2 linked regions of the Callithrix jacchus genome follow. The protein of the gene in region 2 purifies or fractionates together with the protein of the main gene of each other region. This does not show direct contact. Links are inferred from orthologs where the notes say so. Each region holds a gene or a part of one and is shown on either strand. Other genes may lie near its edges.

Region 1 (4,478 bases), on a different chromosome or scaffold from region 2:
TCTCTCTTTTTTTTTTTTTTTGTTTTGAGACAGAGTCTCACTCTTCACCCCAGGCTGGGCTGGAGTGCAGTGACACGATCTCGGCTCATTGCAACCTCCACCCCCAAAGCTCTGATTCTCCTGTCTCAGCCTCCCAAGTAGCTGGGATTGCAGGTGCCCACCACCATGCCTGGCTACTTTTTGTATTTTTAGTAGAGACAGGGTTTCACCGTCTTGGCCAGGCTGTTCTTGAACTCCTGACCTCTAGTGATCCTCTTCCCTCGGCCTTTCAAAGGGCTGGAATTCCCACTGTGAGCCATAGCATCCAGCTGAGGCTCCTCATTTTCCACATGCCCCCAAGGGCCCTCATCTGTCCTTCTCAGGACAAAGCAACTATTCCCTGTGGGTAGGTCAGAAGGGAGCTGACAGAATGGGAAAGGCTAAATGTGGGCAGGAGGAAGGTGGAGGCACAGCACTGAGAAGGCTGTAGGAGCAGGGATCATCACCTAGACCCTGGTGGGGCTGGGGAGCCTGAGCCCTGGGAGGCCTCCTGACCTGGGAAAGCAGCAAGGTTCTGCAGTGAAGGCCTTGGCCCAGCCCTACCTGAGGATGGGCTGGAAGGTCAGGATCCCATCTCTGCAATTGATGTGGGTACTTGCAAGACTGAGATCAGGGGAAGATCCTCCAGGGAGATGAGGGTTTGGGCAGACAAGAGAGACTTCACTTGTCCCAGACATTGCTCTTTTGCCCTCTTTGGGTCCCTGAGGTGACTAGGGTGGCTTTTTTGTAGGGAGGGTAGATGTGAGTCCTGGAGGTGCATCCATAGCTGGGAGGTCGCCAGGCAGAGCAGGCAGGATGAAGTATGCCATTGCCCGCCTGCCAGTCGTGTTCTGCCCTGCCCTCTCTCCCCTGAGGCAGGTAGTTTTCACAAATGGGCTGGCAGTGATTGCAGCCAAGGTGAAGCAGAGAAAAGCAGCCACTGGGCTGGGCCTTTGAGTGCCACGTGCTGGGGTGTGGTGCCCACACCTGCCCAGTTGGATGGCTTGGGTTTCCCCAGGGAAGAACTGGGATCAGGCCCAGGCCTGCCTCAGGGCTTGGAACAGGGCCAGGGACCAGGCAGCTGGCTACGCACAACTGGCGCCTGCTTGGCCCAATGCCATCTTGCCCTGTGGCTCTGTTTACAGGAAGAACTGGACATCCGCCCAAAGGTATCGTCTCTTCTGGGCAAGCTTGTCAGCTACACCAACCTCACCCAAGGCGCCAAGGAGCATGAGGAGGCTGAGAGTGGGGAGGGCACCCGCCGGAGGGCAGCCGAGGTGAGCTGGTTGTGGCAGCAGAGGGGCCATACCTGGGAAGACAGAAAAAACATCATAGAATTGGCTGTTTCCCCACATGGTGGTGAGCACCCCATGGGAAGTGGGTGCGAAGCATGGTGAGCAGGGAGGATGGGCACTGAATGCCTTGGCTCAGGAGGCTTCAAAAAGCAAGCTAATGAGAATCTCCCCAGAGGCAGAGGGCCAGAGAGGCCCTCAGGAATGACAGCGGGAGTCACAGCCGCCTGTACTCAGCCCTTACTGTGTGCGAGGCGCCACAGCAGGCAGTGGGCCTGGGTTCTCATGTGTCATCCACACAACAAAACCAAGACCTGGTGCTATTATCGTCCTTGCTTTTTAGATGAGGAGGCAGGGTCAGGGACATTAAGGAACTCGTCTAAAGTGACTCAGCGAGACAAGATCACTGTGTAATGCTGGGAGATGGGTTTGTGGATTTTATGGGAGACAGATTTGTGGGATATGTAACTACGCAAAATGCCAGATCAATAACATTGTGTGAGGGTGGCTAAGGGTGTTACCCTCGGAGCAAGGAAGCAGGTTGTCTCTCTAGGCCATGCAATCTAGAGCAAGTCACAAACCCTCCTGCCACTCGCAGTGTTAGCCTGGGGCTCCATTGGCAGAACCCTCCGACAATCCCCTGGGTTCCTTGAGTGCCAGGGTCAGGTGATGGGTATATGTGATCGGAGCCTGATGCTGCCTTGTGGGGCTTCCCTGTCTCCTTCTTTTTGGTCATGAATCCAGTTCTCTGGCCCTTCAGCCCTCCTCTCTTTAGGGTGACTGTTACCTCTTAGCCTGGCTCCTCTGTGTCATGGGACTCAGTATAGCTGAGGGCTAGGGATTTTTTTACATTTTTGGTTTGGAGGTAAGGGACCTTCCCTCTCTACATACTAACTCCCTGAGGTTTGGAAAGCAGTGGTATTTGGGGAGGAGCTGAGGTCTGGCACTGGCTGTAGTATTCTTGGAGGTCAGCACAAGCAGAAGGAGCTCCTGGCTGGGATAAGCCAGGCCTCCAGTCTCACACCTGCTCCAGAGATTTGGGGCTTGCTGGGGTGGGGCCAGCAGAGAAGGTAGACCCCGCTGAAGCACACCTCTGACCTTGCCCTTCGGGGAGGCAAACCAGCTCACACTTCAGAGAGGGCAGCTGATACCTTGAGGTGGCACAGACCTGACCCTGATCCTGTCCAGCCACATGTGATTTTTGTTGGCATGTTCTGGACTAGATAGCAGAGAACCCTAATTATGTCTGGCCATCTCTGTCCAGCACTGCAGGGGTGTCTCAACATCTGAGAGTGCTGCCCACAGTGGGTAATGGGATCCTTAGGTCACAGCCTCATCCCTGTCCCTTCAGGCCAAGCCAGGGGGCTAGTGGCTGGGAGTGAAGAGGCCCCTAAGAAAGGCTGGTGCACATCTCAGCAGGAGTTTGGGAGGGATGCCTGGGCCAGAGAAGGCCCATCCTTCCTTGGCCCAATGGGGAACCTGTGAGAATGCTTAGCTTATTCAGCTTACCTGGCCTCAGGGTAAGGAGGAGAGAGGGTGACTGGGTATCCTAGCTCCAGTGGTTTTTCCATGAAAGAAGGATGAGCCTGGTAAAGTCTTTAAGGAGTCAGTAGGAAGCCTAGGGATCTGGGGCTGCTGAGCTGTGGTCCTTACCCAGGGCAGCCCTGAGCAGGGGCCTTAGGAAAGGAAAGCTTGGAGCAGGAAGGGTGGGTCTTGAACCAGACCACTCCAAGACCCAAAGCAGCCTCTCCCCAGTAGCTGCTCCAGCTCCAGTTCCAGCCTGATGACCTCCTAAGGCTGCCAGAGGTTATTTGGGGATGCAGAAAGCATTTCCGGCCCGCCCCGCCCTTTTCTCAGAGTGACTCAGCCTGGGATGGGGGTGGGACGGGGAGCTCTTGCTGACACTATTCAGTGGGTGGCACCCTCTGAGAAGGGCTCAGACAAAGCCCAGATGAGAGGGATCCGTCCCCTGCGCTGCTCCTCAAACAAATGGTTGAGGAGCCATTTGTTTTTGCTGAGGCTCTCCTGAAGTGCTTTAGGTCACTCACAGGTCCTGCCCCTTCAGGAGGGGCATTAAGGAGCTTGTCTAAGGTGACTCAGCTAGACAAGATCACAGCCATGGAGTTCTCTTCTCTCTAGCTTCAGGGCAGCACTGGCACTGTTTTCGGGGGGCTTCCGTGTCACCTCTCCCTGAATGATTTTCACTACTTCAGTCCTTTGGCTCAGTGAGGAAGCTTTGCTGAGGCTCCAGTGGAAGCTGTCAGGGTATCACTGTGAAGGCTGTGCTCTTGGGGGCTCAGTGCCTCAAGAAGATGTCAGCCAGCCTTTGTGCTCTCAGCTTCTGCCCTGGCTTCCTGGCTGGCCCCTACTTTGCTCTGAGATCAGAAAACCTGCCTGGATATGTACATTAGATCTTCCTCACCTGCCCTACAGCCTGAGTACTTTCTCTGTAGGATTTTTCCAACAGGATGTCCCAGGGACTTCCAAAGCACCACTCACTGGGTTCAGAAGTACCTTTTGGGTACCTGCAGGTCCTGCTGGTGATAGAACCATAAATAAGCCAAGTCTGCCCTAATATGGTCACGAAACACAAGTATAGTCTGTTAACATGTCCCATGGTAACCACTGTGGTAGGGAATATCAGATGCCTAAAGAATGTAGGAGGGAGGACCGATTCCACCTCCGGCAACCTGGGGATATCTTCCTGGCAGAGGTTGACAGTTACACCTCCTGAGGCCGGGTGCGGTGGCTCACGCCTGTAATCCCAGCACTTTGGGAGGCTAAGGTGGGTAGATCACGAGGTCAAGAGATTGAGACCAGCCTGGCCAACATGGTGAAACCCCATCTCTACTAAAAATATAAAAAATTAGCTACATGTGGTGGCGTGTGCCTGTAGTCCCAGCTATTTGGGAGGCTGAAGCAGGAGGATCACTGGAACCTGGGAAGCGGTTACAGTGAACTGAGATCACACCACGGCACTCCAGCCTGGCAACAGAGTGAGACTCCGTCTCAAAAAAAAAAAAGAGAGAGAGAGAAAAGACCAGGTGCAGTGGCTCGCACCTGTAATCCCAGCCTTTGGGAGGCCGAGGCAGGAAGATCATGAGGTCAGGAGTTCGAGATCAGCCTGACCACCATGGTGAAACCTTGTCTCTACTAAAAATACAAAAA
Region 2 (4,478 bases):
AATCTCCAATGTGACAGTATGAAGAGGTGGGGCTTCAAGAGGTGCTTAGGGTCAGGAGGGTAGAGCCCTCATGGTTGGGATGAGTGCCCTGATGAACGAGGCCTGAGGGAGCCTGTCTGCTCCTTCCACCTAGTGAGGGTACAGCAGGAAGGCGCCATCTAGGAAGAAATGGGCCCTCACCAGACACTGGATCTGCTTGCACCTTGACTGAGGATTTCCCAGCCTCCAGAACTGTGAGCAACACATTTCTGTTGTTTATATCCTACCCCACCTATAGCAATTTGTTACAGTAGCCTGAATGGACTAACCCGCTCTCCTCACAAATGCGAACTGCAGGAACTGGGTGGGCTCTGGGCTCATACCCTCCACTGCATGAGCTCTCTGAAGACAGGGTGAGTCTTATTCATGGCCTCACCCCAGAGCCCACAGGACACTATCCCCTTCCCTGAGCACCCGGGCTGAGTGACAGGGCTACAGGCAGTGAGGGCCCAAGTGGGAAGTTGCTGGTGGGCCCGGCAGGGTGTAGGACCCTTGTGGACAGGCTGCAGAGGGGGCTCTGCAGTGGGGCAGGCATTAGTGGGCAAGGGTACGAAGGGCCTGGGCCACCCTTCCTGAGCTCTCCTTCACGGCCTTGCCCTGGGCAGCTCCAATCTGCTTGTCTGGCTGTGAAAACAGTTACAGCCTCTGCTGGTGGCCAAAATGCCAGTTTGAAGGGTGCTCTAGGGCCAGGTATGGGTTTCTGTGAGTGGATATGCTCACATTTAGATCCAGAAGTCCGCACCACATGGAGACTCCTCTGAGCCACACAGTGTTCAAAATTGACCACACTTAAATGCCTGCTAAACCACTGCGTGGGTTCCAGAGCCCTCTGGGGGTGAAGGCATCAGTGCCTCCCTGACCTTGACTGCGGATGCAGATGCTACCTGCCCTATGGACCTCCTGGTGCTGCCCTCCATCTACATCCCATGACTTTAGGACCCCCAAATAGCAGCAGCCCAGCCCAGTCTCTCCTGCATGCCCCCAGGAAGTGGGAAGGACCGTGACAGCTTCAGCCCACACCAAGGGAGGCTGGGAACAGATGGGAGTGAGTGAAGCCCTGTTGAGGATACTCCAGTTAGGGTGGGGCACTAAGTCCTGGAGCTTCGGGGCTCCCCAGTGTCACATAGTATCCCTTCTACTCTGTCTCTTCTTGTCACTCTGCCAGCCCACCTTCCCCACGGCCACCAGCAGTGCCCACATGGGGCAAACCACCATTGCATCCAGAAGGCCAGTGCTGCATACACAGCTTGCCAAGGGTTCCCAGCAATGCTGGAGTGGCAAGGCAGGAAAGAAAGCCAGGCCAACCATGTTCCTCACCCAGCGTCCCCTCCCCACACCTCGAGCACCCTGCAGCCACAACTCTGCTGCTCCCCTGCTTGGCGTGCCTGCCCTCCTCACCACCTCTCCAAGTCCTTCTCATCCCCAACGGCAGATCTTAACCTTTTCGTGAGCTAAGGACCCCTCTGGCAGTCTGGTGAAGCCTATGGACTCCTTTGAAGTGTGTGAAATCAATCATATAGAATGATAAAGGAAATACTGAGTACTGAAATAAACTGCATTGATATTCATGCTTCCTTATGAACATAATAACTCCTGTGACAGGGAACAGTGATGCATGCAAACTTCAAGATACCTGCAACACCATGAGGTGACAGGCAAGCATCTGTGAATTCTGCTGGTGGTAAAGCCATGGGCACTGCTAAGAAGACTGAGTCACTGCCTACACTCATCATTGAAGGACCAATCAGGCGTCCTTCAGTGCTATGGACGAGTCAGTAGTTACTGAAGATAAAGGTGCAACTTTTTCCAGCCCTGTCTGCTGACCTGCTGAATTCCATCCATGGACTACTCAGGGGGCCTCATGCTGCAAGGTCAGCCCTAACTCCACAGCCCTAACTCTTGTGAGCTCCAACCACACCATGGTGGGTTCTTCTCTCCACGCCTGAGTTGCCCTCCATAGCCCTTAGCACTTGCGAAGTGCAAGGCATGAACCCCAAATGCTGATTGGATTGAATTTTCCTACACCCACCATCTGAAGTGAGGTGAGACGTTAGGGGACCACTGCTTCCCTCAGCCGCCTGGAAGCTGGTGGCTGGACACCCTTAGGGCCTGCTACATGGGCCATGACTGGCCGCTGCTACAGTGGCTGGTGACTTACGTTCTCCACACGCTGTGCCTGGAGTGCTCCTTCCCTCTCTTGGGCTTTACCAGCTCCAGAAATTAGCTCGCCCTGCACTGGACGCACCTATGGGTGTTCTGGTTGGCTGCCCCAACCCCATCACCAGCCCCTCAGGGCAAGGCAGGTCTGAGCCTGCGGCTGACCACAGGGCCACGCCATGCCGGGCCCGGTACCAGGTGTGTCCTCACCTGCTTCACGTTGTAGCCGGTCTTTGCACTGGTTTCAATGAACATGACACTCAGTTCTTTGGCGCGCTGCTCCCCTTCCTCGATGGTTATCTGCCTAGAGATGAGGGGAAGGAGGGAAATCAGCTCCGTAGAGGAGCAGCCCCTGGCAGAGATGAGGAGGGACCCGTCCAGCAGGGCAGAGGGAGCCCACTGGGCCCCTGGTCAGCCCAGAAGACAGGCTCTGATCCCAGGGGCCTCTGCCGGGTGCCAACCACAGTCTCTTAGCACAAAGCGGCACCAGGGAACAGCAGAACACTATCCCCTCCCCCCACTCCTTCCTTTGTGTCTTCTCAGCTTCAATTAGGCCATGGGGCAGGCCTAGGGTAGGACTGCCCCGTACCTGCCTTTCCCAACAGTCACTACTGCAGAGCCTGTGTTTGTGAAGAGATTCAAGCCAGGCAGTGCCACTCTGGGTGGTATTATTAGTCACATTTTCCCTATGAGAACGCTAAGGTTAAAAGTGTCTCCCCCAAGGCCACAAAGCTGAGGGGCTCCACAATGCAGCAGGCAGAAGTGGGTGAGGGTATGAAAGGCTTGGGTACCCTTTGCACTGGGATTTGAGCCCAGTTTTCCTTCCTTCAAGGACAGAACTCTAGTAAAACAGGCTCTAATTCAGATGATCCCTCAGGTGGTCAAGGGACGCTGCGAGAGCCCTGCACTGCTAGCTGGAGTCCACAGCCTATCACTTTGTCTGCCCAAGTCAGGGTCACGTGAGATGAGTGGACAATGTACATACATGGCACCTCAGTCCTCCCTGTTCATGGAGGGCAGTGTGGAAAAGCCACTTTAGAGAGCCTCACGCCATATGCAGCCACAAACCAGGCTGAGCAGGCTCCGGCTATAGGTTTGTGGTCCAGATGCTCTGCATGCACACACCTAGGGCCCGGGGCATTCGCGCCCCCATGCGCACTGGTGTGGACGGTACACAGGCACAGACAGTTTGCAGTGCACACACTGGGGCCCAGGGGACTGCTGTGTCTGGGGCAGTGCTGTGGCCTTACACCGTGCACTGCTGGGCCAAGCCAGGTGCACACATCTGTGTGCAGACAGCACACAGAGGAGTGCCTGGCCCCTGCCTGGCGGTGGAAGGCAGGCCTTCACAGATGAGACACCCATGGGTGAGAGTCTACCAGGTGTTCTCAAAGCTCCTCGTGTCTCAAGGAACCTTCCCCAGATGCATGGCCAGGATAGACACACCACCCATGCACGCCAGAGCTCCCTGTGCAGGAGCAGTTAGAGAGGAGTGGAGGGTAAGCACCCTGCACCTGTGTGCCTTAGCGCCTACCTCTTATCAGCCAGGTCTGTCTTGTTGCCCACCAGCATGATGATAACATCACTGCCCCTCTCTGTCCTGACGTCGTCAATCCACTTAGAGGTCTGTTGGAAGGAGTTGAGATCTGGAGGCAGAAAGTGGGGATAAACTGAAAGGCAGGGCCGACCACCAGCAGGAGAGGGGAAGGGGAGGTGTGAGCCAGGAGCAGGAGGGAGGGTGAGCGCATGCCCTCAGATACCCAGGGAGGGGTGTGAGCTCAGTCAACAGATTAGCCAGGTTGGGACTTTCAGAGGGAACCACGCCCCACCCAGCCCTGGGGAGCCGCTTGCACTGCTCAGCCACCCTCTGTGGGAAAGGAGTCACCCCATCTGGAAGGTCACAGTGTTATGATCTGCCACATGGAATAGTGGCTTTAGGGGCCCACCTGAGAGTCAGACCTGACTCTGGGGATTCAGTGGAGAGTGAGAACTGGATCACACATGTGTGTGCATACACACACATACACACGTACACATACACACAAACACACGTACACACAGGACTTGGCAAGTTTGGACAGTGAGGAGTAAGCAGAGGAGAACACAGCAGTCCTAGGGAAGGCGGGGCCCTACTGAGTGGCCTTCCCACTTCCCATGGGAGCTCAGGGAAGTCTGGCAAGGCCAGAGGCATTTCTGAAGAGAACCGTGAGGCTCTGTAGGGGAAAGGAGGGGAAAGGTGGCCCCAAGGCTAGAGTCGGGGGAGCCAGGTGCACTCAAAAATC

The links. The genes of interacting proteins can lie anywhere in the genome.
Region 1: the proteins of RAB6B (region 2) and SLC12A4 purify together in Homo sapiens (co-immunoprecipitation; 3 studies listed by BioGRID and IntAct, with this or other methods). This does not show direct contact. The link is inferred for Callithrix jacchus from reciprocal best matches to the Homo sapiens genes RAB6B and SLC12A4.

Annotation. Positions count from the first base shown.
Region 1 is NC_133521.1:25,492,493-25,496,970, reverse strand, and holds part of SLC12A4 (solute carrier family 12 member 4), read left to right. Parts: intron 1-1,163; coding exon 1,164-1,295; intron 1,296-4,478. UniProt on the Homo sapiens protein: Mediates electroneutral potassium-chloride cotransport when activated by cell swelling. May contribute to cell volume homeostasis in single cells. May be involved in the regulation of basolateral Cl(-) exit in NaCl absorbing epithelia.
Region 2 is NC_133518.1:50,350,551-50,355,028, reverse strand, and holds part of RAB6B (ras-related protein Rab-6B), read right to left. Parts: intron 3,843-4,478; coding exon 3,731-3,842; intron 2,501-3,730; coding exon 2,407-2,500; intron 1-2,406. UniProt on the Homo sapiens protein: The small GTPases Rab are key regulators of intracellular membrane trafficking, from the formation of transport vesicles to their fusion with membranes. Rabs cycle between active GTP-bound and inactive GDP-bound states.